7 linked regions of the Oryctolagus cuniculus genome follow. The protein of the gene in region 7 interacts with the protein of the main gene of each other region in a pairwise test. Links are inferred from orthologs where the notes say so. Each region holds a gene or a part of one and is shown on either strand. Other genes may lie near its edges. The genes, in order: TOP3B, MAPKBP1, FBXW5, CREB5, AQP1, SHFL and ADAMTSL4.

Region 1 (3,500 bases), on a different chromosome or scaffold from region 7:
GCCCAGGGGTGGGGGTCAGCCCCGCCTGCACCCCTGGGGCTGAACGGAATCATCTCAGTGCATCCCAAGCAGTCTTTGGGGCCTCTAGAGAAACGCCCTACATACCCAGAGAAGAGCTGGCCACACGCAACATCTCCACGGTGTTCAGGGCCAGTGGCCTCTGCTTGGCCTTCTCCTTCCTGCTTGTGGCCTCCACCTGCAGGATGAGACGTAGGCAGTGATGCGGAGGTGGGAGGAGCCTGAAGAGAGACAATCCGAGCACGGGGCAAGGGGCCTGCTTTCCTTTGTCTCTCTGCTTCTCAAACCCCCTCTTCCCTGCAGTCTGGAGACCGGGTTCAGTGCTCGTTTGGGACCGGCAAGGGACACACAACAAGCCCTCTTTTCCAGATAATTGTCTAGGGAAGAGAAAACCCGGAGGAGTGAGCAAGAGGCAGGAAGAAGGGGCTGCAGGCATGGCTGGCAGGAAGCCAGGACTTTCACGTGACATCACACAATTGTTCAGTGTGGACAACTCTCTTGAAACTTGCAGCAACGCCACGCAAGACCGACTGGGATCCATCTGTGGGCTGTGCTGGCTGGTGAGCTCCCCCTTCCACCTCTGGAAGGCACTCATCAGAAGACAAGGCAGAAACAGTCCCAGCGACTCTGCCCAGGGCCTGGGCCTCGGCCAATCCCCGGCCACGCCGGATTCCAGGCCCACAAACGTGGGTGCTAATGCTGAGGCTGCCTGTGGATATGCAGCAGTGGAGCCCAGGGTTACGCGGGGTGATCTGGAGGCGGAGCCGGGGCCTCTGCAGGAATGCGACCCATGGGAACGCCTTCAGAAGTTCTGGAGCCTGAGAGGGCTGCATGGGTGGGCCAGCTGGCATGCGAGGAAGGGCAGGGTGGCTGAAGGTGGCCCGGCCACACCTTGATGGCTCTGGCAGCTTTCAGGGCCACGGAGCATCTGCAGAGCATGCCCTGTGCCCGTCACCCCACCCTCTTCCTGAGATTGAGTCACACACACTCTGAGCAGGAAATACAACACCATGGAGGTGCCAGGCGGATGGATCCCAGACAAGTCCCCAACTTGCCGTGTGGCCCTGGCCAAGCTCATCACAGAGGTCCCTCTGCAGCTACTAGCCCCCGAGATCACAGAGAAGGGACACCTGTGACATCTGCCCACTGGGTCACGTGGGAAGGGCCTGGCAGGTCCCAGGTGTGGACATGGGTGCCCCACAGCTGCCGCGTTGGGAGAACTATCTTAGGAGTGGATGCATGAGCCAGGGGGACAGGTGTGGGTGGGGCGGGGCCATACCTGGGCTTCCTTCTCCTGCTTTGTCATGTTTAAGAACATCTGTGCGATCTCCCGGTCGAACACTCTCACTCGGTCCCAGTCCAGAAGCAGCGACCTGTCTTTGTCGACGTTCACCTGCAGGACGGAGGACAGGAGGTGAACACATGAGGAGAAGCGGGCGGCGAGCCCAGCGCCTGGGCTGGGCCTTGTCTGGGAGCCACGCAGCCCTGGCGCTGGCGTCTGCACCTGCTCAGGTGTGCTGATCCCGGCCTGAGCCCTGGTCTCGCTCAGGGTGGGTGGGGTGGCAAGGCTGACGGTATCACATCCTTAGTAGCACCTGAGCCTCTGCCGCACACCCAGGGTCCCTGTCAGTCACAGCAGCTCCAGTGTCATGTTATAAATCCTACAGCACGCGTCTGTGGAGGGTTTTATTTGAGGAAAGCGCCCTAGGACTTCCTAAAAAAATTATTTTTGTTTATTTGAAAGGCAGAGAGACAGAGATGAGATGTCCCACCCGCCGATTTCGCTCCTCAAGTGCCTTCACAGCCGGGAGCTGGGAGCTGAAGCCAGTCTCTCAAGGGGGTGGCGGGGACACAGGTGCTTCAGCCATCACCACTGCCTTCCAGGGTGGGCATCAGCAGGATGTTGGAACTGGGAGAGAGCTGGGACCTGCACCAGCCACTCGGATATGGATATGGGACGCAGCGTTCCCAGGACTGTCTGAACTGCTACACCTGGCTTTCTAGAATTTCCAAAAAGTTTAAAAGCTCAGGGCCTTGGTCCAGTGATCAGATGTGATTTTACCCTCGATTGCCAGAGCCAGCCTTGTCCCCACTCATCCAAATTCAGCGTCCCCAGGCTCAGCCTAGCCGGGGGCACCACAGGCCCACAGTGGCACCCTTACCCCTGAGGCCTGCAGGAGGAGGATGATGGTGATGACACAAGGCTTTCAGAGTCCACCCCCCCCAAACCCAGACACACACACACACACACACACACACACACACACACACAGAGCAGAGGAGGCACCTTGGCCTGCAGCACCCAATAGGCCTCCGGCTTGAAGGACTGGATTTTGTCATGCCTCTCCACACAGAAGCCCAGCGTAGGAGTCTGGCACGGCCCAAAGGAGATGAGAGAGCTGTCCAAATCGCCGTATTTCCCCTGGAAGTACTTGGTCTGGAACCTGGGTGAGGGTGGGGTGCGAGAGAGAAGCCATTTGGTTAAGGATTTGCCTGAGACCCCACCGTGAGTGCCCCCGGGGCTGGGGTGGTGAGCGCAGGGCAACCGGAGGTGGCAGCAAGAGGCAGGGAGGAGCCCTGGGGAGGAGCCACGCGTGCACGGCTGGGAAAGCCAACAGGAACACGAAGCTGGGTCCCAGTGGGCCAGGGAGCCCTGCTAATGGGTAGCCCTGCCACACCCCCTCAGGACCCGCGTGCCAGTGGGCCCACGCCGCCTATCCAGCAGCGGCCGGCACAGTGAAAATGCCGAGGCGCAGGGCAGGCACCCAGCGCACCTGGTGAAAGCACAGCCGATGCGCAGGTCCAGCTCCTGGCGGGCGTCCACCGACAGCGCCTCGTTGTGGTCCGGCTCGCCCAGGCGGGCCATGGCGTTACAGATGTCTGTGTCTGTGATGGAGCTGAACCTGGCCCGGAACACAGTCTTCTCGCCGCCGTGGGCCTTATTCATGACGGGGACGACGGCATCAAGGACCTGGTGGGAAGCCATCCGGCTGGGATCGCCTCTGCCCCCCATCTCCTGTCCCACCCCTCAGCCGTCAGGCCCGGCTCCTTCTGGGGCCCAGCCTCAGCACGCGTGTGGCCCCCTTCAACAAGACCCCTGCCGTCTTCCTGCCTTTCCAGGAGCCTCCATCTTGCGCAGACCCCTCACCCACGGCTACATTGCCATTCACATGCCCCTCCCCACTGCCGCCCTGCAAGCTGCCCCCCACCGCTCCTCCCCCTGCTGCCAGGCACACAAGGGACCTTGCAGTCCCCAAATCCACTGGAAGCCTACTCTTAGGAGGAGGGTGTGCTGGGCGTAGGTACGTGAGACTTTGAAGAAACTGGAGAAATATAGGGCAGGAAAAAAGCCCAGCAGAGGCAAAGGCCATGGCCAGTGGGAAGGGGCCAGGTGGGCCCAGCTGCGGCTTGGGGGTGGGGGTGTGTGGGGTCCCACAGCTGAGACTAGGAGGGCTGTGCGGAGGGAGGGGACAATGTGTGAG
Region 2 (3,500 bases), on a different chromosome or scaffold from region 7:
GAGTGCTCATCCAGCGTCTGCTGTAGGCTATACTCCCGCCCAGCGTCCAGCACGTGGATCAGCCGGTCCCGGCTTGCCGACGCTAGCAGCTTCAGACCTGGGGTTAGAAGAACTCCATCAGCCCACAAATGCCCTGAGTGGATCCGTAGCCGAGCCCAACAAAGAGCACCAAGGGAACTGAGCCTCATGTCCCATGAACCATAGAGCAGGGATGCAAAGACACCCAAGTGCCAAGATGGAAGTAAGTGGCCCTGGCAGGACTGGAGGAGCTCTGGCACCCTCACCTGTGTCTGGCTTAGAGTATTCCAGGCACAGAATCTCTGAGTCATGGGCTTCCACCTTCAGCATCTCACTCAGCGACTGAAGCTCATGCACCCTGCAAAGAGGAGATGATGAGGGGAGATCACCATTACCCCACAGGCGGAGGGGCTCACAGCCTTCCTCTCCCCCCTTTTTTTTTCTAAACTGTGTTTGAACTTTACAGCCCAGAGAAAAGTTGCAAAAAGGGTATAATTTCTATACTCCCATTACCCAGCTTCCCATAATGTTAACATCTTTCATAACTTCATATCCAAATCAGCAAATCTATGTTAGCACAAATTATTAATTAAAGACCTGATGATTCAAATGTCACCAGTTTTTGTTTTTGTTTTGTTTTGACTATGTCCTCTTTCTTGATTCAGGATCCTATTCAGAGTCCAGACTACGTTTAGCTACTACTTCTTCTTAATCTCCTATAATCTGCAACAGTTCCTCAGCCTTTCCTTACCTCTCACAACCTTAACAGTTTTGAAGAATATTGGCCAGTTACTCTGTTGTACACACCTCAATTTGGGTTTGCCCAATGCTTTCTCAGTTTGGATTGGGTTTATATATTTTTGGCAAGTTTACCACAGAAACCATGTTCTAAACTTCTTAGGACACTGTGTTACGGGCTTCACGTTGTTGATATGAGGATGTTAACCTTGATCACTTGGTCAGGATGCTCTCTGTCAAGGTTCTTCACAGCAAAATCACTATCTTCCCCTTGTAGATTACAAACATATTGTTCCCCAGCCTTTTTGAGACAAGCTTCCATAGAGCTTTGCTCTTGAGGACCTGACTAGCCCAGCCTGCACCCGGGAGGCAGGCAGCACCCACTTCAGGCCCGGCATTACCTGAGTGTGCCCATTCGATCCCCTGAAGCCAGATGCTGTCCATTAGGGCTGATGCACACCGAGCGGATGCCCACACGGGGATCCATGAGAGAGCCATCAGCTTTGTCTCCTCCAGGCAGCTCAGTGTCCAGCAGGGCCTGCGTGTTCCCGTCCACATAGATGATCTTAATGAGGTCCTAGTGGAACAGGTCAGAAGAGGTGGATAAGGCATACTCCACATGGTACAGCTGCAAGGGAGAGGCGAATGCTGGGCAAGACACACCCTTGGCTCACAGAGCCCAGCAGAGTAAGGGCTGGGAGATCAGGTCTGGGGAGCCAGGGCCCGAAATCGAGGTACAAAAGCTATGGGGCTGGAGGTCCTAAGTACGGAGTGGGGATCCAGGGCCTGTGCGCTCACATTGCTGAGGATGTTTCGGTGCAGCGTGGAGCCATGCACCCCAGAGCTCTCCGTGTTCCACAAGCGGATGGTGTTGTCTGAGGAACAGGTAATAAAGGAACTGGGAGGCAGGCAGGCCTGGTTACTGTCCTTCACCTCAGGGTAGACCTGCAGGGGCACGGGGTATACATGTAAGGAAGAGGAAGGGAATTGAAGAAAAGAGAGAATGTAGATATAACTGCTACACACTCATCATAAGTACTAAGGGAAAGCATGCTAACCAGGCATCACTATGCCCCAGGCACTCTTCTATGTCTCCCACTTTCTTTATTTTACTTTATTCTTAGAACAGTTAGGTGAATCAGATCATCATTTTACAGCTGAAGGAACTGAGGCTCAGTCAAGTTCAATGACTTGTGCAAGATCACCAAGCCCAGAGAAGGCGAAACTAAAGATAGGGCACACTAGAAAATGCCGGAGATGCAGCAGCACTAAAATTCATGCTCAATCCGCAGGACCCATCACAGAGATGTTGCCAAAGTGAGAGATAGCAGGAACATAAAGTGACACCTGGGATCCCCACTTCTTGCCATCACAACAGTTATCCCAGCAGAACTGATCAATCTCCACCCGGCCCGCCAGCCCAGCCCACGTACCTCTACACTCCACACGCAGGAGGAGTGATACAGGGCTGAGTACACCTTGCCCACTTTCTTGGGGTCCCTCACATCCCAAACATAAATGCTGTGGTCGTTGTACACACAAGACAGCCACTGATTTGTAGGATCAAAGGTCAAGGCAATGGTGTCTGGATACCTGGCATTGGCCACTCCAGAGAAGAGGCGACTGTGGGGGAAAGGACAGGGCAAACTGGTGAGACCCAAGGGAATGAAGAGAGAAACCAACCCCCAAAGCGATGAGCAGGGTGTGGGGAGCCCTGACTAGAGCTGTAGCTTTGGAAGTAGATGCCTGAAAAAGGATTTCAACTTCCAGGAGCAGGGAGCTGGCCAAACACTGGCCATGGGGGCCAAGTGTTCTTGTGATGAATGCAAACACCCACAGAACAGCAGCAGCAGACAAGGTAATTCTGCAGTCAGCATGGGCAAAACAAAAACAAGACTGTTCTGCAAGTATGTCTGCACACAGATGAAACCAGATCCCCACACAAACCACAAAAATGACCGAACATCGCCCTTCCTCATCTAACACGACTGATGGCTGTTTCTTTACAGCATGACAGCCTTCCTCCCACTTCTTGGGCAGGCTCTATCAAGATACCCAACTGGGCAAGTGTGTCTACTTCCTGACAGCATCCAACCAGAACACAACTTCAATCCTTTGAAGCACTCCTAACATCATCTCCTGCAAGCCCAAAACCCACTAAGTCCCTCTGGACACCTACTTCCTGACATTCCCGGGTCCTCCACCATATGCAGTCTCCTTGGTTGCACTAAGTATACGTGTTTGCCTACAGAGGTGTTTCTGGTAAAGCGCTGCCAAGGAGGCTGAGCACTGGGCAAGGCTGTGAATGGAGACAGGGGCCCCCATAGCTCACCTGGCCTCAGTGACGCTGGCAATGTCTGTCCCCAGGGCATGTGGCCGGGGTAGGGTGCTGAGGAAGTGCAGGTTTGAGGGGTTGAAGAGGCGCACGGTGCCATCGGCACAGCCACAGAAGATGTAGTCTTGGCTCACGGAGATACAGTGGGCCACTGTGGTCTGTGGGCAGAGCAGCTGAGCTCAGCAGGGGCCACCGGCCCACTCAGGCTTCTATCTCCTCCCCAGCCCCCCACCAACAGTCGGCGGCCAAGAGGAAAGAGCGGCCAAGGCAGGGCTGAGGGGAAATCAGCCCAGCTGCTCTGCTCTGAGCCCTGCATTGTCATCTAGAGATGCCCTCCCTCCAGCAGCAGGTGGCCGGTGGGCCGCAGTGCTGTGCAGTTGGGGGATGGGAATCAGGGGCCCTTCTTAGG
Region 3 (3,639 bases), on a different chromosome or scaffold from region 7:
GCCCCCGCCCCCGCCCACCGGCTCGCCCGCCCCCCGCCCCCGCCCCCCGGCTCGCCCGCCCCCGCCCCCGCCCACCGGCTCGCCCGCCCCCGCCCCCGCCCCCCGGCTCGCCCGCCCCCGCCCCCGCCCCCCGGCTCGCCCGCCCCCGCCCCCGCCCACCGGCTCGCCCGCCCCCGCCCCCGCCCACCGGCTCGCCCCGCCCCCGCCCCCCGGCTCGCCCGCCCAGGACGTGGAGTCGGAGAACGTGAACGTGGTGAAGCGGCTCTTCAAGATCCAGAACCTCAGCGCCAGCACCATCCGCACCGTCATGGTGGCCGACTGCTCCCGCTTCGACAGCCCCGACCTGCTGCTGGACGCCGGCGGCCCGGCCGCGCCCTGCCGCGTCTTCGACCTGGGCGGCGACTCCGACCCCGACAGCGACTCGGACGGGCCGGCCCCGGCGCCCGCCCCGCCCCGGCCCAGGGGCTCGCGGCGCTTCCCGGACGGCGCGCTGGACACGCAGGCGCAGCTGTCCGAGCGCGTGCTGGAGACGCGGGTGGCCGAGCTGCTGGCCCAGGGCCACACCAAGCCCCCCGAGCTGGCCCCCGCCGACGCCAGGAACAAGTACCTCATCTTCACCACGGGCTGCCTCACCTACTCGCCGCACCAGATCGGTAGGGCAGGGCGCGCGGGGCAGGGCACCCGGGCGGGTGGGCTGGGGCCTGCAGCCCCTCACGCCGGCCCCCCGCAGGCATCAAGCAGATCCTGCCGCACCAGATGACCACGGCGGGCCCCGTGCTGGGCGAGGGCCGCGGCTCCGACGCCTTTTTCGACGCGCTGGACCACGTCATCGACGTGCACGGACACATCGTGGGCATGGGCCTGTCGCCCGACAACAGGTGCGCCCGCCCGGCGGTGGGGGGCGGGGGCGGGGGAGAGGTGGGGGCGTGTCCCGCGCTGAGCGCCCGCCCCGCCGCAGGTACCTGTACGTCAACAGCCGCGCCTGGCCCCGCGGCTCGGTGGTGGCCGACCCCATGCAGCCGCCCCCCATCGCCGAGGAGATCGACCTGCTGGTGTTCGACCTCAAGACCATGCGCGAGGTGAAGCGGGCGCTGCGCGCGCACCGCGCCTACACGCCCAACGACGAGTGCTTCTTCATCTTCCTGGACGTCAGCCGGGACTTCGTGGCCAGGTGCGGGGCGGGGCGGCACCCGGGGGCCGGCCTCTGGGGCGGGGCGTGGGGCGGGGCCGGGGCGAGGCGAGGCGGGGTCAGGGACAGGGTGGAACCTGGGGGCCGGCCTCTGTGGGGCGGGGCCGGGGCGAGGCGAGGCGGGGTCAGGGACAGGGTGGAACCTGGGGGCCGGCCTCTGTGGGGCGGGGCCGGGGGAGGCGAGGCAGGGTCGGGGACAGGGTGGAACCTGGGGGCCGGCCTCCGTGGGGCGTGGCGTGGGGCGGGGCGGGGCGGGGTCAGGGACAGGGTGGAACCTGGGGGCCGGCCTCCGTGGGGCGTGGCGTGGGGCGGGGCGGGGCGGGGTCAGGGACAGGGTGGAACCTGGGGGCCGGCCTCCGTGGGGCGGGGCCGGGGCGAGGCGAGGCGGGGTCAGGGACAGGGTGGAACCTGGGGGCCGGCCTCTGGGGCGGGGCGTGGGGCGGGGCCGGGGCGAGGCGAGGCGGGGTCAGGGACAGGGTGGAACCTGGGGGCCGGCCTCCGTGGGGCGGGGCCGGGGCGAGGCGAGGCGGGGTCAGGGACAGGGTGGAACCTGGGGGCCGGCCTCTGTGGGGCGGGGCCGGGGCGTGGCGGGGCGGGGTCAGGGACAGAGTGGAACCTGGGGGCCGGCCTGTGGGCCGGGGCGGGGCCAGGGCGAGGCGGGGTCAGGGACAGGGTGGAACCTGGGGGCCGGCCTCTGTGGGGCGGGGCCGGGGGAGGCGAGGCGGGGTCAGGGACAGGGTGGAACCGGGGGCCGGCCTCTGTGGGGCGGGGCCGGGGCGAGGCGAGGCGGGGTCAGGGGCAGAGTGGAACCTGGGGGCCGGCCTCTGTGGGGCGGGGCCGGGGGAGGCGAGGCGGGGTCAGGGACAGGGTGGAACCGGGGGCCGGCCTCTGTGGGGCGGGGCCGGGGCGAGGCGAGGCGGGGTCAGGGGCAGAGTGGAACCTGGGGGCCGGCCTCTGTGGGGCGGGGCCGGGGGAGGCGAGGCGGGGTCAGGGACAGGGTGGAACCTGGGGGCCGGCCTCCGTGGGGCGTGGCGTGGGGCGGGGCGGGGCGGGGTCAGGGACAGGGTGGAACCTGGGGGCCGGCCTCCGTGGGGCGGGGCCGGGGGAGGCGAGGCGGGGTCGGGGACAGGGTGGAACCTGGGGGCCATCCTCCGTGGCGCGGGGCTCCGGGCGGGGCCGGGGCGAGGCGGGGCTGGGTGCGGTGGGACAGGGTGGAACCTGGGGGGGCCGTGCTCCGTGGGGCGGGGCGCCGGGCGGCAGAACAGGGGCGGGCAGCAGCCTCATCCCGGTGCGGGCCCACAGCGGGGCCGAGGACCGGCACGGCTACATCTGGGACCGGCACTACAACATCTGCCTGGCCAAGCTGCGGCACGAGGACGTGGTCAACTCGGTGGTCTTCAGCCCGCGGGAGCAGGAGCTGCTGCTGACCGCCAGCGACGACGCCACCATCAAGGCCTGGCGCTCGCCGCGCACCGTGCGCCTCCTGCAGGCCCCGCGCCTGCGCCCCCGCCCCTTCTTCTCCTGGTTCGGCTGCCACAGGCGCTGAGGGCCGACCTGGCTCGAGCCGCGGGGACACTGCCGGGGCCCCGTGGGTGCTCCCCGCGTGGGGTGGCTTTGCTTGTAGCAGGGATCCTCAGGAGGGGCCGGCCCGGCCCCCGCACGCACTCGCACAGCCTCACGTGGCCCGCGCTGCATGCGGCGGCCCCACACTGGCCGCGGGGCCAGCACGGCGTGCACAGGACACTGGAGGCCTCACTCCTCACCCACTCCCTCCCCCGGGCTGCGGGTGCACACGGCCCCAAGCCCGGCCACTCAGGACAGTCCCCACGCCTCGGCCCAGCGGACAGGCTCCCGCCCTGGTGACTTGGTTTGTACCGGCGGTGCTGGGGGCCCAGGGGCCTGTCTGCTGGCCACTGGCCCAGGGCTCAGAATAAACAGTTGCCAACAGCCCACCGACGTCCACCTCTGTGCAGGGAGGGGCAGCCCGGGCCCTGTCCCCAGCCTCCTGCCTCCTTGGCACCCAGGAGGCCTGTGCCCGACGGCATCCGGGCAGCTCTGGTGGGACAGCTGCATTCTGGGAGATTCCTGCCGAGGGTGGGGGAGGGGCTGCCCAGCTGGAACCTGCCTGGCCTCCCTCCCTCACCGAGGGCCCCCCCTTGTGGTAGTGAGGGGGAGGGTGGGGAGGGCGCCGGGCCTCGGGGGTAAGCAGTGGACACTGTGTGCCCTGCCTGCACAGGGGACCCAGCTGTTCCCCATGGCACGGGCGCTGGTGCGGGCACCTCCATCCTGGGCCGGGCCTTGCTGGGGACAGGTCTGAGAGGGGCGGCTGGGGCTAAAACGAGGGGCTCGTGCGCTGTGCAGATGAGCCCGGGACACAGCCCAGGGGCCTCCATGGCCTGGGCGCCAGCCCCCTGCAGGTGGCCCGGGAGAGTGGCGGAGGGTGCGCCGAG
Region 4 (3,500 bases), on a different chromosome or scaffold from region 7:
TTCATATCTTCTTGTTATTTCCCTCCAAAATAGATTCTTACACTGTAGTAAGGGAAACAAGCACATCCTTCCCTTTTCTGAACCCTTATAAAAGCTATACTTTTGTAAAATACTGTTCTTGTAAAACACACACACACGCACACACACACACACATCAAGCATTCAATGGAGATGAAAACCAGCACCTGCCTAGACTTTAGGGAGGAACCTTGGCCCCTGTCATTTGAGATGTGACATTACAACATGAGCACAGCACAATGGCTTGTGTGAAGGAGGCATGGCCGTGGTTTGGGGGTCTATCTGTTTTTGCTAATGGATTATGTCTGTGGAAGTTACTGGAAATAGAACTCAGAATTGTTGAGGAGTGGAGCAGCCTGTGCCAGACTCGGGGCTTCCCTTCAGCAGCCACAGGGCCCTTGTACTGTCGCGGAAGGCTAATAGCACCCAGTGAAAACGCAGGATTTTCTTTGTGTTTCTGCAGCTTGCTTACACCCACCTGAATGGCAAAGCCAGTTCCACAGGCTTAAGAAAAATAATAATAATAAATCTTAGGCTATTAGCAGCTGATGATTGAATAGTGTAATCTGTGTAGTGAATAGAGCCCTTCTGAATTATTATATAGCGCGTGGATTTTCAACAATATAGACAGGCCACATAAAACCAGTTGTAATTCCAGGGTGTGATGTTATAGCCTTGCATCTCAATTTGGACTTTCACAGTCAAGGCTTATAGAATTCCCTCCCAAGTGTCTCCACAGCTGGCATTTAACAGTGCTTCACTGTAACTCAACCACCTTTTATTTGCTCTGATTATTAAAAACATTAAATCAGGCACATTAAACATCTCCCAGTTACTATTTTTTGAAAAGCAAGAGTTGAATGAACTCCAGCTGTGGGTTACAGGCAAGTGAAGAAAAGCTAGGTCCACATTTTTGAGGTTTGCTTCTTTTTCTTTCTTTAAACATTATTTTCATTGCATGCAATGCTAAAGGGAAAAACAATAAAACAGGAGGAAAGTCAAAATGAATAGCAAACAGGAAGCCTGAGGCCAACTGGAAATGGAGAGGAAAACTGGGTATTTGAGCAAGTGGACCAAGAGGAGGGAGAGCGGGGCTGAGATGCTTCCTGATTTCGTTTGGACACTGATGGATCTTAACATTGTTTCTAGTCAAAGAGGGGAAGGCTGTGTGTGTATCTGGGATTCTGGTGAGAGAGCACAAACTCAACATGAGTTAGGATGTCACCAGATTCCTACCCAGGTACCTTAGATCTGTCCTACTTGACACCTAGCTATGCCTCATTTTGGCTAAAAGCTGTGGTTTCACAAGATTCCTTGTTTCAGGCAAAGGCTTCGGCTGATAAGAATGAAACCATGACTATATACAGAAAAGGTTCAGTTTATAAACAAATAACTGGTACCAGAAAATTGGAGAAAAGCACCAAAGCATTTCCCAAGCTGATAGATATTAATTGCATAACTCCCTTTTTTTCTTATATAACTAAATATAAAAGACAACATTTCCATAGTAACTATAAAAATGAAAGCCAGTCTTTGAAGGGCTGAGGAGTCTTCCAGGTTGGAGTTAATTCTAAAAATGCCCTTAAGAGAAAGGACGCGTGGTATGGTACAGGTCTTCTTAGAAGCAAGGCGTGGCCCATTAGTTTAAAGGATGGGATTCAGGTCTGTTCTGTGAGAGGTGAGCTGACTGAGGGTGGAGCTTCCCACGACCTCACTGACCGACGAGGACGTGGTGATGGTGTTATGCTGGATGACTTGCTGTTGGGAGCAGGCTGGGACAGGGCTTGGAGGAGGGCTACTCTCTGGACCTAGGAGAAAACACACACATACACACCGCAATATAGCTCGCTCTTGTGTGGATTTGCAAACTCTTCAGAAAAATGGTATTAGGTATTTACTTGAAATAGAAGCGTTTCCCACATTGGCTTCTGCAAGTTAATTTGAAGACTTTACCCTGGTGTCACCAAGCTATGCCTCTTCCCAATGTAGAGCTACGAGCAAAGCCATGCTTTCTATATCAGCGAAATGGGTTGATGTGTTTGTGACCTGGTATGTGAGCTAGCCCATCTTGTCTTTTCCAATAACCATACATCAAATGTGGAAAAATACTCACATGTGGTGGGAGAATCTGTGTTGCTCAATCTAAAAAATCATTTGAAAATAAATTGACCTTCAGTCAAAAATCCCTACTCCTCCCCGCCACCCCCTACTGAACTAGCATTTTATCGAATGACCCTCCAGATGCAGAAATTGGGGTCTAAGGAAAGGGATCCACTGATAAACAGAGGCCAGATCACTAGCTTTGTAGCCCAGGGACGAGCATATGGTGTATCCTGGGGTACTGGAGGCAATGTCCCCACCGCCTGGTTCCCAGCCCACAGAATTCTCAAGATTCTAAGTCACTGGAAGATGGTCTCCAGCAGACTCTCTGCTCACTGGCAACAGCATTGACATTGGGTAGAATTTTATAATGTTAAAGACAGGGGAAGTGTGGCCAGAAATTAGCAGGCGGTAGTGGCCATGGTGCTGGATAAGGATGAGAAAGAGGGATTCCCCCCACCCCCCGTGGAATAATCTGGAAGCCACTCAAGAATTCTAGTGTGATATCTGTCTGGGAGTGCCATCTACACTTTACTTTTGCTCTTTCTATAAAATTCAAGGCAGAATTAGTGGTAAAACACTGGACACTCAAAGAAAAAAGTTGGTGACTTACTTAGATAGCCTTGGGATTCTTTTTGCATGGCTGTTATAGGACAATCTTTGTGTGTTAACAACAGCTGTTTCAGTTGGGCCACCTCGTTTTTCAACATGGACACCTCATTCTGTAAAGAGACATATTAAAGCCACATTGAGAAGATTAGAGAATAGAAACCCAGAGCCCCATGCATCTTCAACAAATCGGCAAATTTTTTTGTTCTGCTACATCCAAATGGCTTAAAGACCATGATTTAGTAAGGTTCTTATGAAAATCTGCAGCTTGCCTTTAATTTGGCCCTCACATTTACCAAGGGCTTTCTGACGAGCTTGGATCTCAAGAGCTGAACCCTACAAAAATCACAGCACATCCATTAAGTGCTGGGCTCTGGAACCAGACAATGAAGGTTAGAATCCCACTCTAGACTTAGTGGGTGACACTCCGCAGGTAACATAATCCACCTGAACTCCAGCAACCTCACTGATAATGATGGGGGGATGTAAGTCTTTGTTGGGAGGGTTGAATGAGGCAACTGAATACAGAACACTTAGAACAATGCCTAGCACATGGCTTTCCTAAGTCTGGCAATGCTGGCTGACCCTGCCAACCAGGAGGAGGCTGTGACGTATGCAGTGGGAAGAGTTGTATGATAGGATTGGTGCCTTCAGAGTGCAATGCAATCAGAATGTACACACCCCCATCAAAGAAGTTCCAGATGGCTTTAGTTGAGAAGGAAGCTACCACCTGACTGATGCCCACTTAGCTGGAGGCATGAAAAGACATGATG
Region 5 (3,500 bases), on a different chromosome or scaffold from region 7:
CCAGAAAGCTGGTCGGGAGGTCCCCTAGTCCCCTGAGGCTGACCTGCTCCATCCATAACCCCACCCACAGCCCCGGGCAAGGCTTTCCCTGACTGCCACCCCAACCAGGGAAAGTCCCCCCAGCTCACCGCCAACAGGTGTCCCAGGGCCACAGAAAAGCCGATGGCAAGGGGAGCTGAGCCGCCCAGGTCGCGGCGCCTGCGGTCGGTGGTGGCCAGCACACACAGCACCAGCTGCAGGGTGCCGATGATCTCGATGCCCAGGCCCTGGCCTGAGTTCACGCCAGGGGCCAGCTGTGGGGACGGGAGCAGAGAGGCCCAGTGAGCACGGCAGGCAGGGACTGGGTCCCAGGTCCCCCTGCCTCCCAGGATCAGGCACCAAGAACCAGACTCAGCGCCTCCAGAGAGAGACGAGCGCTGTGCCCTTTGCTGTGCCCAGAGAGGCCCCGTCCAGACACACACAGCAGGCGGCCACAATCGGCCTCATCCTCTCCCACACTACGGCTTGGTCCCGGGGCCAGCCTAGACCTCCCCAGCTCTGCCTGCAGATCTGAGTGGCCTGGGGCACAGCAGCCCTGCAGGCTGGGGTACCTGAAACCATCGGCAAGGGGCGAGCCCCAGGTGTGGGAGGAGAGAGTCGGGGGCACTGGTGGAAGAAGAGGAGGAGTGAACAGGACGGCCCAGCTTGGGGGGGGGGGCATGGCCTCCTACCCCCAAAGTCCAGAACATGCCACCCACCCCCTGCTGCATGCCCGAATCCCAAAGCTAGGGAAAGCCCGCTCCACTTAGCCCCGCGGCTCCCTCTGTCTCGGTCTCCTCTGTGCCAGGGCCCCCTGCTGCCTCCGCCCTCCGTCTCCGCTGCCCCTCCCGGTCTCCCGTGGCCCAGTGTCTTGCTCCTGTTTTCTTTTGGCGTTCCTGACTCTTCTTCTCTCTGCACGCTCCCTCCCCGCTGGCCTGGCCTGGTCCTCACTCTCTCTGGCCACGCAGGCCCCCGCCACCGCCGTCTGGCTGCCACTTGCTCCTGGGCCACTTTTAGAAACATGACTCATGGAAAAAGAAGGGAATGGGAGCTACCATGAAGTCACCGGAGCCCCGTCTCCCACAGCCGCACCAGGCAGACCCCTCCCCAGGAAGCCCTGCCCCCCGACGCCCCGTGCACCCATCTCCAGGGGTGCTGGACCACTTGGTAGAGGCCCAGCACAGAGATGCACCGATGTGGCCACCGAGCCGCCTTCCCCCCGGCAGGACAGCTGCGTCCCAACAAGCCGTAGTCCTGAGGCCATGGGGCGTCTTCACGGTCATGGGACATTTTGCAGATTCCTAGGTGGGGGGCACCCCCCACCCCTCCAGAGGTTTTCCCAGCCCCACCCTGAGGCCATCTTAATAAGAACAATTCTCTTCCCGCCTTTGTCTGCTGCACTCGGCTACAGGGAGTGAGTCACATCCCCTCCCCTGTCTGCGGCCCAGCTCCAGAGCTTTGGGCCCTCTGGCCAGCCAGCCCTCTGGCAATGCCCAGTTCTCTGCTGGCGCGCCAAGGTTGGGCGCTGTTAGCATGGCCTGGTCCTCTCTGGGCCTCAGTCTTCCCATCTGCAAAATGGATTTAATTGTCCCTGCCCATTGTCCAGAGCAGCCAGGAGGTTCAAAGGCAGCGGGAGCTGTCCGAGGAGTAAGGGAAGGGGTCCAAGGCAGGAGGAGCCAGGGCAGCGCTGCTGGCTGTTGTCCTGGCTCTTTCTCATGGCATCTGCAGGATTCAGGGGTGGGCAGAAGTGGGGGAGGGGCCCAGCCTGCGCAGAGGTGTGAAGATGGTGAATGGAGGCAGGGCTGGCCGGGCCCAAAGTTGAGGGTAGCCCAGCCTCCACACACCTATGAGGCCACGCCCCTCAGAGGCTCCTTCTCCAGCGCTCTGCTCCGCTCTCCAGGATCAGCTAATTGCTTGCTGGCCGGCGTCCTGTGACAGCTCCTCCTGGCTGATTAATGGAGCTGATGCCCTAAGCGGCGCTCCTGCCTCAGACTCTCCCCACCCAACCCACGGCCCGGGCCAGCTCAGCTCAGCTCCTCCGCTGGTTCTTAACCAGCTCTGAGAGCCCCAACCCTTTCCGAAGGCACCCCTGTTCCTGCAGGGGAGCAGAGCAGGGAGTCGTGGTTCAGGGCCCAGTGCTCTGGGCCCTCGGGGAGGAGAGAAGCCAGCCACCTGCCCTGGGGACCCCAAAGTGCGCCTCCTGCCAGCTGAGAGCCACGGGGGCTACAACCTTCCTCTCCCATTGCGTCACCATCTACTGCCTTCCTCCAACCTCCTAATACCTGACATCACTTAGATCTGGATGAAATTCATCAGGATTGGAGGAGGCCTGGAAGAGCTGTTGAAATTTGATGTCCATGAAAGAGCAGGCAAAAAATCAGAACTTAGCACTCCTGTGCACAAATCACTGGGTGTGAAACAAGTGCTGGTAGAGAGCCCATCCCGATTGCAGTCACTTGGTACTTGGGGAATAACACAATGTTGCTCGCTCCCATGTAGTTGGACCCAGCTGAGGTCTTAGGGGAAAAAGTAACCAACAGTTTTGTGAACGCACGTATAAGCTATAGAAAAATCCATAGATCTTGGAAGCATGAGGAAGATACAGCTCCCGCTTTGGACACTGAATCCATCTCAGGCCCCTGCTCAAGGCGGCTGCAGACCCTCCCAGCTCTTGCACCTTCCTGCATCCCCCACTAACTTTGACTTCTGCCCACCCTGCCCCACCCACAGGGACCTCCTGCCTCTCTGTGGGTGCCTCACCTGCTCGCTCCAGGCTAGGAACTCTCTGTCCAAACCTCCATGGAGAGAGGCCAGCTGAGTGGAGGCGGGCGTGGTGGAGGATGCTAACTGTCTAGAGCTCATTCCCTCCAGGGGCAGGCCAGCTCCGGGCAGGCTCCCTGCACGCTGGGCCCATTTGTTTACCTGCTAGCTGGAGGTGATGGCCAAGCGATAGGCTCTGGGGCCCACCCAGGAGGCCTATGCCAGGGTTGGAGGTGATGGCAGATGGGCTGGCCGAAGCTCAAGGAGTGGACAGCCAAGCCAGGACCTTGCCCTGGGGTCAGCGCTGCCCTACACTCACAGGCCAATATGTTGGCTGCCCTTAAGCCCAGCGAAGGGACCAGGCTGTGCCCCACTTGGACGGGGGAGCTGGCAGAGCTGGCTGCCTGCATGTCCCAGGCTCCAGGACTGACCTCTCTGGGAAGTGGGCTCTGGCCCTCCCTGCTATCCATGGGCAGGCCAAGCAGGGGAGTTTCCAAGGCCCAGGAAGGACCCCCATCTCGGCCTGGACACCCTCACACCCACCATTACGGAGCAGCTGACTCCAGAATCAGGCCTGGCCAAGTCTCTGAGCATCTGCTTTCGAAGAACAGGGCACAGGGGGCATGGGGGCCTGCTATACCTGCCCAGTGCCTGTGGGACTCGACACTGGGCAGTGGGGAAGCTTAGGGGCCGTGTGCACGTGGCATGGCGGCACCCACAGC
Region 6 (4,290 bases), on a different chromosome or scaffold from region 7:
CTCCCAGGGGAACCTGGACGCCACATTTAGGGTTGTGGCTTTGGAGTCAAGTTCAATTCGCAACCAGCGGGGTCGGAGGTCAGAAGTGCAGCTGCAGGTCAGCCGGTGGGATGCGGGTCAAGCTCGGAGGTCAGAGGTCAGGGGTCAGGAGTGGCGTTCAGGACAGAAACCAAGGTCAAGTTTTAGGCGGTCACCTCCTTCCGCTGGGGCACACGGCGCCACCAGACGTGGTCGCAGGAGGAACAGGCGAACTGCCTGTCCACGGCAGGGATTAGGTCATCCTGGGCCCGCTGGAACATGCGCAGGTTGGCCTCCGTCAGCGGCAGGAGGGAGGTGGCCACGGCCTGCGGGACGGGCAGGGTGGGGACAGGGGTCACCGTCCTCTGCCTTGCACACGTCTGCCGCCACCCCCACACGGGTCCCCCTGCCCAGCTGCCAACTCACCTGGATGTCTCGGTCCTGCTTCATGTCCTCTGGGGGGTCCTGCGTGGAGACGCCAGGGGCAGAAACTGGGGCAGGCACTCGGGTCTCCCCTTTACCCGCCTTTGCTGGGGGAGGGGCCTCCCAGAGCTCAGAGCAGGTGCACAGCCAGCAAGGAGCAGGTACATGGCTTCCCTTAGCCATTCCGTTAGCCCCGACAGGTGGGCGCACCTGTTCTCGCCATTGCTCATATGGGGAAACTGAGGCCCAGAGGCAGGGGAGGGCTTGCCCGAGATCATCCTAACGCCCGCAAAAGCCAGGGCTGGGCCAGGCCGAAGCAGGGAGCCTGGAGCTCCATCGGGGTCTCCCATGTGGGCGGTAGGGGCCCAAGCTCTTCAACCATCCCTGTCGCCTCCCAGCGTGCCCATGGCAGGAAGCTGGACCGGAAGAGGCGGAGCCGGACTCCAACCAGGCATTCCGCCTCGCGCTAAACACCAGCTCGCCACCTATTTGAGGCCCCGTCGCTTTCGGCTAGTGCTTGGGGCTCTGGATTTGAACAGACACAGGTTCAAGTCCTGGCTTTGGCACTTCCGGCTGTGAGAACGTGGGCAAACCACTCGTCCCCCCGGGGCCCCTGGAGAAAGCATGACTTCACCACCGTGCCTCAGTACTGGTCTGTAAAATGGGCTGATCAATAATGGGTCCTGGCTCGTGTGGTGATCAAACAAGTCAGTTCCTGGAACCTGGCCCCTCGGGGAAGTGCCGGGTCAATGATTACCCTCTGTGATTATTTCTATCACATGCTTTATGCCTATAAAGATTAGGATGCGCACTTTATCTCCAGGTAGGTGAGATCCAGCCATTCCCACACAAAGCCAGTCATCACTCATTCATTCGTTCAACACAAGGACGCCCTAGCCGCTTCCCCCTTCCCGCCTCTTCTGGGGTCAGTTCCCCCTCTTCTCTCCCAGCCTATGCTACCTGTCACCCCCTCCCCTGCTTTTCCATTCCAGGGCTCACTCCTCCCTGTCAAGGCTTTGCATCACCTCCTCCAGGGAGTCTTCCCTGACTTCCTGGGCTCCCTGGCACCAATGGCGGCGTCCGCTCCGCTCCATGGAACACAATCAGCACTTAATGAGCACCTACTGTTTGCAGGCTCCCTGGCCCAGCCGATGATTGAGGAAGGTGCTGTGTGTGGCCAGCCCTGCTCGCTCCAGAGGGTCCCCCCGGCTCTCCCGCCCGGTACCCCGACCTTGGAGGCCAGGGGACAGGTTACCTGCGCGTCCAGGTCATTACTGAGCTCCTGTCCGTCCTTCTGCTTTACCCCTGGCGGGATAAGACAGGGCCCCTGAGCGGCCTGCGCCGCCCAGACCCTCCCGCGGCTAGACCCTCCCGCGGCTGGGCCCTCCCGCGCCACGCCCCCTCGGCGCCGGCCGGGGACCCCCGCGCGCTCACCGTACACGATGGAGCGACCCACGCCGGTGTGGTCGCTGCCGAATTTCCTCATCAGAGCCCCGGCCTTCTTGGGCGACACCTTCCCATGAAACTTCTCCCGGAGGCGCCGGACGCTCTTCTCCAACTGGGACGGGGGGGGGGGGGGGGGACAGGTGGGCTCCGGTGGGGGGGGGAGGGACGAGCCGCCGCCCCTCCCCCAACTCCAGGTAACATTCCTGGGGCCTGAACTTTAGCCTTGGTTTTGGCCTCCGCCCCCTCCCCCCTTCCCACCATCTCTCCACGACATTTCCTGCACAACCCCCAAGTCCCTACAGGGTCTGGGGGTGGGAGCGGATGGCGGGCGCGGGTCCCAGCCTGCGGGCGGGGCGCACAGGTAAGGCCTGGGTCTGACCCCTGACCCCGCAGCCCCCGCTTCTCCTCGGGGGGAGGCCGCGCTTCGCTCCGGAGGCGGGGGACGTGAGCGGCGCGCTCCTCTCCGAGGGGGCCCGGGCGCTCGCCCTGAGCATGGGATGGGATGCGGATGGGGGTCCCCCAGGAACTGCGGAGCCCCCTCGGCGCCCCCGGGCCCCCCTCGGCGCCTGCCGCGGGCCCCTCGGCTCGCGGCCGTGGCCATCGCCTACCTCCACACCTTCCTGAGACATGGTGGTGGCGCGCAGGTCCCCGCGAGGGTCCGCACTGCGTGGCTCAGCCGCCCTCCTCGCTGGGCGCGCCCGTCGGTCCGGCCGCCGCGCAGGGCAGGGGGCGGGGTCTCGCGGCCGGCTCCGCCCTTCTGCCCGGGCCCGGTGTTTCGCTTTCGGTTCCGAAGTGGGGAACGGGTGCGCTGGCTCCGCCCCGGCTCCGCCTCTGCACTTGCGCCCCAAACCCAGGCGGGCGCGCGGGGTCTGCGCCCTGCGGCGGGGCGCGCGCACCTCGGGCGGGGGAGGCGGCGCGGCCTCTGCAGTCGGTCACATGTCCCCACGCTGCGCGGGGGCCGCGTCTTCACGTCCCCCGTGGGGGCGGGGCCGCCTCCGAAGGCAGCGGCGGGTCCCCGCGCCCCCCACTCCCCGCGTGCGCTCCCACGGACCGGGCGCTTGTTAGGACCTGGGGGGGTTTGTGGGGGGGGGTCCCTCCTCCCCTGCTGTTGAGTTCCTGACAGGCCACTGTGACGTTTCTGATCCTCAGTTTATCGCTCTGTAAAATGGGAATGATCCATAGGTGCTTGTGAAAAACACAGGGTGATGGGCCCCAGCTTTTGGGGGGCGCTTTAGAAATGTGCATTTTATTTTTTAAAAGTTTTATTTATTTGGCTGGCAGAGATAAAGAGAGAGAGTGCATTCCCATTTGCTGGTGGACTCCCTAAATGCCTGGGTCAGGCCGAAGCCAGGAGCAGGCATCTCAATCCGGGTCTCCCACGTGGGTGGCAGGGACCCAAGTGCTTGAGCCACCACCTGCTGCCTCCCAGGGCTGTGCTATAGTGGGAACTGGGACCTGGATCAGAGCCCAGGAGTTCAGCTCATGCCATGCAGGCCTCTCATGTGTCCCGTTAACCCTCTCAAGCCAAATGCTTGCTTTGGAATCTGCATTCTCAATCGGGCGGTTGAGGGGCCCATGGGGCCCCAGCAGAGGGGCCTGGGGAGCCTTTAGCTGGGACCCTCGGCCTGGGGACATCATCTCCTGCTTGGACAGAGCCCCAGAAGTTTGAGGTCATAGCTGGTGAGGATGGAGTCAGGTGAAAGAAGCAACTGCGTTTTCTCAGCCGCCTGCACAGAGCTGCGGACACTTTGGGCCAGTAGCTCTTTGCGATGGGGATCTGTCCCCGGCCCCCATGCCCTAGATGCCACCGGAGTCGTGGCCCTCCTCAGAAGTGGCCTCCGGACACTGCTGGAACACAGGGCGGTGTTGGGCACAGAGGTTTTGCTGCCGCCTGGGACGCTGGCATCCCATCTTCGAGTGCCAGGGTTTGAATCCCAGCTCCCGACTCCAGTGCCCTGCTGATGCGCACCCTGGGAGGCACCAGGAGATGGCAGGTGCACGGGGCTCCTAACACCTCTGGGGGAGACCTGGAGGGAGCTCCTGGCTCCTGGTTTTGGTCTGGTCCAGTGTTGGATGTTGTAGGCATTTGGGGAGGGAACCAGCGCATGGGAGATCTCTGTCTTTCAAATAAATAAAATCAATTATTAAGTTAAAAATATGCCTACCATAGGATTCATCAATCCTACAACAGGCACGCCCCTGTCACCCACGAGGGAGACTCGGATGGAGTTCCCAGCTCTTGGCTTCTGCCTGGCCCAGCCCTGGCTGCTGCAGGTATCTGGGAAGTGAATCAGCAGATGGAAGACCTCTGTAATAATAATTTTTTTTTTTTTGGCATTCCTCTCGGGGGTATGGTGACCCTCCCGTAGAGTTGAAGCCATCTCTAGCTGACTTACAAGACTT
Region 7 (4,153 bases):
CTTGATGGTGTTTGACAGGGAGCCAGGGGGTCGGTGGGGGGTGGGGGATGCTAGGTGGGCCGAGTAGGAGTGAGAAGGACGTGGCTCTGAGGCTGGGGGACATGGAGATGGCCTGGCGAGGTCGGGCATGCGACCAGGGACAGGAGGCTGCCAGGCAGGCAAGCAGGGCCGCTCTTATCCAGGGCTCACCTGATCCAGGCAGAGCTGAGGAAGGGACAGAAGCAGCATCAGACACAGCCGGGGCCTGCAAACCACAACCAAAGGCAGGAGGGGCCGTCAGAACCGTCAGAACCGAGTCAGGGCAGGCGTTGCGACACTGCCCCTCCCCGCCCCCCAACACCCACAGGCTCCCATATCCTGACCACCGAGGTCTTGGAAAGCAGAAGTCACCACTTCCCCCAGCCCTCCCAGGGGTCCTTTTCCCGCGCCCTAGGGCCGAGGCCACCCCTCCCTCCCCCCGGGGTCCCCCCATCCCATCCAGGTGGCCCCCCTCTTACCAGCCTGCCCACTTCATCTCTCACCCCTGGCAAGGGAGGAGGGGCCTGGAGGTGCACACTACTCAGGCATCAGGGCGTGGAGGGGTACGCTCTGCGGGAACACAAGCCTGGCGTTTACCTCCCAGCCCCCAGGAAACAGGGAGGCCGGGAGGGAGGGCGCCCCCACCTTCCTTCGGGATGTTTAGGGGCTGCTGCCCTGGCCGCGGGCTAGGGCTGGAGGGTGGGGGTCTGACCTCAGCCTCCCGACTCAAGCTAGGCTCAGGCCCCTCCCCCTTGGCCCTTGCAGGAACTTCTCAGCCCCTCCCTAAGTCCCCTCTAGGGGCAGTTCCTAAGCCAACATCCTCAGATGGGTCCCTCTGGCCCCACTCCTCCCTCCTGGAAAGCTGAGGGAGGCTCAGGTGAGCACGGGCCGGACGCCGCACCTCACCCTGACAAGTCCCATGAGCTTTCCGAGAACGAGCCCCTTCCCAAGCCATCTCTGCATCCTTCCTGCCTCCCAGCCTTGTCTTCCCTTCTTAGCTAAGCTCCTTAGGAACAGTCAGGCACAGCTCGGCCTGCCTCAGACACTTTTTGGCCAAGGGATAAACTGAGTGGGTTGGTGGTTTAATCTCTATAAAGAAGAAGCAGGTGACTCAACCTCCCCTCTAGGCACCAGCACCCCTCCGGCTTGAGGCTTGCTTTGTGCACAGCCGGGAAGGCTGCAGGGACCTAAGCAAGGACAGGTGCAGAACTGCCCCTGCTCCCGCAGAGCCGGGAAGTCCATCCTGCAGTCTAGCCTGCTCTCAGCCTGACTCTCCCTGCCCCTGCAGGCCCCCCCAACACCTTCTGACTTTGAGCCCTTCCTGCCCCCACTCCTAATCCTGCTCTTAGTTCTGCTTTCCAGGAAAAAAAAAAAAAAACCCAACCCTGTTTCTGTTGGATCTGAAAGGCACCCGGGAGAGGGTTCCAAGGAGCCATTGCGAGGTGGGCCGGCTCAGGGGCAGCAGAAGCACCATGGGGAGAGCAGGAATGTGCCGGGGGTGGCAGCCCGCGGCCCTGTTCCCCTCCCTGAAACCCGGAGTGGGCAGGGTCCCCCTGCTGCTCGGGGCTGGGGAGGGGCTGCTGATGGCCCTGGCTGAACTGACCACTGAGGTCAGCCACCCCGCCCTGCTGGGCGCCGGGAGGCGGGGGCCCATGTTCTACGCAGACCTTCAGCCCCAGGCCTGTGGATGAGGCTGAGGGGAGGAGAGGTGGGTGGGGGTCACGCAGGGGCCCCCTCCACGCCCGCTCTGCCTCTGCTTCTCTCTGCCGGTCTCCCCAGTACATATAATCCTGTCCCGAGCGGGGCTTGGCTTCGGCAGTTCCCTGGAGAAGTGAGGGGTGGGGGTGACGTGAGCTCCCGGGGCGCGGGCCAGGCCTGGCTCCCTCTCTGGAAAAGTCCCACCCTGCCCTCCCCTGCACAGCTGGGCAGGGGGCCGATACCCCCTCCTCTGCGAAACAGACACACATTTGTGCTTTTTCACCCTTTGCACGCCCCTCTTCTGGTGTCTCGCTGCCCTGGGTAAGGAAAGAAAGCAGAAGGGGTCACTCCAGTGCCAGGCTGGATCCTGATCTGGAAAAACCTGGGCACCTCCTGGTCACACCTCCTCACGCTGGCCAGTGAAGATCAAAGAACAGACCTGCAGGGCCGGCCCCCTCACGAGGCAGGAGTCACTGAGAGGGGAGGGGCTGGCGGTGGACAGCCCCTGTCCTGGGTCAGAATCTCTTGCTCCCACCCGGCCCTCAACCCTGGGTCCTGGGGGAACCATCGCAACAGGTGTCTCTCTTTTCCGTCAACCTCTTTCGCCATCAGGCTGAGCGGCATCAAGGCGCCCATCTGCATCCCTCCCAGCGACCTTATTCCCAACTGCGGGAGTGAGGGGGTGTCAGGAAGGACACGTCCTCCGAGAGCAGCAAGGGCAGGAGGCGAGCGCGCCTGCAGGGAGGTCTTGGGTATGTTTTCCAACTTCACTATGTGACTTAGTAGGAATCTTGGCTCATTCCCCGCGCGGGTGATGGAGCCAGAGTTACACGGGATCAGACCCCCTCCCCAGGAATTCGACCCCAGGGGTTAGAAGATCTTCCGAGACCATCAGCGCCGGGGCCGGGGTCCCGGCGGGGGCGCGACCGCGCGGAGCTGGGGCCAGGGCGGTGCGGGCTGGTGCGCGGGCCGGGTGGTCTAACGGGACCCAGTGGGCAGGGGGCGGCCGGGGCCGGGGCTTGGGGAGGGTCTCTACCTGCTCGGCGCGCCCCCGGCGGCACGGTGGCCCTTCTGCGCCCCGGCGCTCCCTCGGGGCAGCCTTGCTCTGCGGCGGCCACTCCAGCCCCTGAGCCCGGCTCCGGACGCTGCCGCCTCCGGCCGCGGCTCCGCCCCGCGCCCCGCCCCGCCGGCGCCCCGCCCCCCCGGCCGCCGAGCGCCCCTGCCCGCGGTCCCGGGGTGGGGACGGTCGACCCCACAGCCTCCGCGCGCCAGTGCCACCCACCCGGGGCTGCGTCTTGAGGCAGAAGTCGCTCCCGGGGCTCAGGACCCCAGCACCCGCTGTGCCAGCGCTGCGCCCGTCCGAGCGGGGTGACCTCGAGGGGCGGCCGGGATCCAGGTGGCGCCTGGTCCTGAGTGACCTGGGCGAGGCGCGGGCCCGGAGGGAGGCCGCACGCAGGGTGCATGCAAATGGTCCTGTGCGTCTCCCGGCCCCCGTCGGCCAGGGCGCGCTCCTGCACACAGACCAAGGTCAGTCGCGGCCGCCTCTCTGGGCCCTGGCGGCGAACCAGGTGGTTCTGGGAGCCTGGGTTTCCTCCACCATAAAGTTTTACATGCAGGGCGTAGCGGAAGGAGCGCGCGCCGGTGTATGCGTCGGGCCGGCCTGCCGCCGAATGGCAGCTCCGGCGCTGTCCGGTTCGCTCTCTGTGCTGCAGAGGCCAACCGGACGTCGGGGTCGGTGACGGACCTGGAGTCGGCTGTCCGTCCAGTTGCATCTAGAAGAACGCACCCCGACCTCGGCAGCCTTGGGGACGCTGGGGAGGAATGCGTCTTTGGAGCAGGGAAGAGAAAGGGTTTCGCGTCTTAACACTGCGTGTGCTGTTTAGATTTTTAAGCTTGAAGCGTTATCCGTGTATTATGTTAAAAAGGAAATTATGTAAAATGACTGACAGAGTAGATGATGATACATGGTCACTAGTATTTAATTTTTTAAAACGTTTTTATTTGCTACTCATGAATTGCATTTTGGTGAGTCTATTCAATGTTTTAAATTTATTTATTGGGACCTGTGTTGCGGTGTAGCTGGCGAAGCCGCCACCTCCTGAGACACTGGCATCCCATTTGTGGAAGATGGCCTGAGTGTTTGGACCCCCGCTGCCCACATGGGAGACCCAGCCTGGTTCAGCCTTGGCCTGTGTGGCCATCTGGATGGAAGATCTCTGTCTCTCTTCCACTCTCTGTAACTGACTTTCAAATAAATAAATAAATAAATATGTTTTCCAAGTTGTATGTGTTTGAGAGAGTGTATTCCCACCCACTGGCTCACTCTCCAGATGCCAGCCTCTGCCAGAGCCGAGGCTGAATTGAAGACTGGGCACACAGTCCAGACCTCCAAAATGGGTCCTCAGGGACCCCACTACTTGAGCCCTCGCTGCTGCTT

The links.
Region 1: the proteins of ADAMTSL4 (region 7) and TOP3B interact in binary tests that used the Homo sapiens proteins (3 or more experiments, as listed by UniProt). The two-hybrid records come from large-scale screens. The link is inferred for Oryctolagus cuniculus from reciprocal best matches to the Homo sapiens genes ADAMTSL4 and TOP3B.
Region 2: the proteins of ADAMTSL4 (region 7) and MAPKBP1 interact in binary tests that used the Homo sapiens proteins (3 or more experiments, as listed by UniProt). The two-hybrid records come from large-scale screens. The link is inferred for Oryctolagus cuniculus from reciprocal best matches to the Homo sapiens genes ADAMTSL4 and MAPKBP1.
Region 3: the proteins of ADAMTSL4 (region 7) and FBXW5 interact in binary tests that used the Homo sapiens proteins (3 or more experiments, as listed by UniProt). The two-hybrid records come from large-scale screens. The link is inferred for Oryctolagus cuniculus from reciprocal best matches to the Homo sapiens genes ADAMTSL4 and FBXW5.
Region 4: the proteins of ADAMTSL4 (region 7) and CREB5 interact in binary tests that used the Homo sapiens proteins (3 or more experiments, as listed by UniProt). The two-hybrid records come from large-scale screens. The link is inferred for Oryctolagus cuniculus from reciprocal best matches to the Homo sapiens genes ADAMTSL4 and CREB5.
Region 5: the proteins of ADAMTSL4 (region 7) and AQP1 interact in a two-hybrid assay, tested with the Homo sapiens proteins (2 studies listed by BioGRID and IntAct). The link is inferred for Oryctolagus cuniculus from reciprocal best matches to the Homo sapiens genes ADAMTSL4 and AQP1.
Region 6: the proteins of ADAMTSL4 (region 7) and SHFL interact in binary tests that used the Homo sapiens proteins (3 or more experiments, as listed by UniProt). The two-hybrid records come from large-scale screens. The link is inferred for Oryctolagus cuniculus from reciprocal best matches to the Homo sapiens genes ADAMTSL4 and SHFL.

Annotation. Positions count from the first base shown.
Region 1 is NC_091452.1:28,916,221-28,919,720, reverse strand, and holds part of TOP3B (DNA topoisomerase 3-beta-1), read right to left. Parts: intron 2,990-3,500; coding exon 2,793-2,989; intron 2,463-2,792; coding exon 2,306-2,462; intron 1,412-2,305; coding exon 1,298-1,411; intron 197-1,297; coding exon 106-196; intron 1-105. UniProt on the Homo sapiens protein: Releases the supercoiling and torsional tension of DNA introduced during the DNA replication and transcription by transiently cleaving and rejoining one strand of the DNA duplex.
Region 2 is NC_091443.1:64,889,677-64,893,176, reverse strand, and holds part of MAPKBP1 (mitogen-activated protein kinase-binding protein 1), read right to left. Parts: intron 3,250-3,500; coding exon 3,089-3,249; intron 2,380-3,088; coding exon 2,190-2,379; intron 1,702-2,189; coding exon 1,555-1,701; intron 1,334-1,554; coding exon 1,158-1,333; intron 377-1,157; coding exon 285-376; intron 98-284; coding exon 1-97. UniProt on the Homo sapiens protein: Negative regulator of NOD2 function. It down-regulates NOD2-induced processes such as activation of NF-kappa-B signaling, IL8 secretion and antibacterial response. Involved in JNK signaling pathway.
Region 3 is NC_091432.1:237,322,419-237,326,057, reverse strand, and holds the end of FBXW5 (F-box/WD repeat-containing protein 5), read left to right. Parts: intron 1-226; coding exon 227-653; intron 654-730; coding exon 731-878; intron 879-958; coding exon 959-1,171; intron 1,172-2,491; coding exon 2,492-2,735; 3' UTR 2,736-3,139; downstream 3,140-3,639. UniProt on the Homo sapiens protein: Substrate recognition component of both SCF (SKP1-CUL1-F-box protein) and DCX (DDB1-CUL4-X-box) E3 ubiquitin-protein ligase complexes.
Region 4 is NC_091447.1:20,394,552-20,398,051, reverse strand, and holds part of CREB5 (cyclic AMP-responsive element-binding protein 5), read right to left. Parts: intron 2,841-3,500; coding exon 2,732-2,840; intron 1,827-2,731; coding exon 1,663-1,826; 3' UTR 1-1,662. UniProt on the Homo sapiens protein: Binds to the cAMP response element and activates transcription.
Region 5 is NC_091447.1:22,131,184-22,134,683, reverse strand, and holds part of AQP1 (aquaporin-1), read right to left. Parts: intron 294-3,500; coding exon 129-293; intron 1-128. UniProt on the Homo sapiens protein: Forms a water channel that facilitates the transport of water across cell membranes, playing a crucial role in water homeostasis in various tissues.
Region 6 is NC_091447.1:67,206,277-67,210,566, forward strand, and holds the start of SHFL (shiftless antiviral inhibitor of ribosomal frameshifting protein), read right to left. Parts: upstream 2,801-4,290; 5' UTR 2,517-2,800; coding exon 2,496-2,516; intron 2,000-2,495; coding exon 1,876-1,999; intron 1,747-1,875; coding exon 1,697-1,746; intron 484-1,696; coding exon 445-483; intron 345-444; coding exon 195-344; intron 1-194.
Region 7 is NC_091438.1:47,452,929-47,457,081, forward strand, and holds the start of ADAMTSL4 (ADAMTS-like protein 4), read right to left. Parts: upstream 2,801-4,153; 5' UTR 2,753-2,800; exon of another isoform or gene 589-2,752; 5' UTR 515-588; coding exon 498-514; exon of another isoform or gene 245-497; coding exon 190-244; exon of another isoform or gene 1-189. UniProt on the Homo sapiens protein: Positive regulation of apoptosis. May facilitate FBN1 microfibril biogenesis.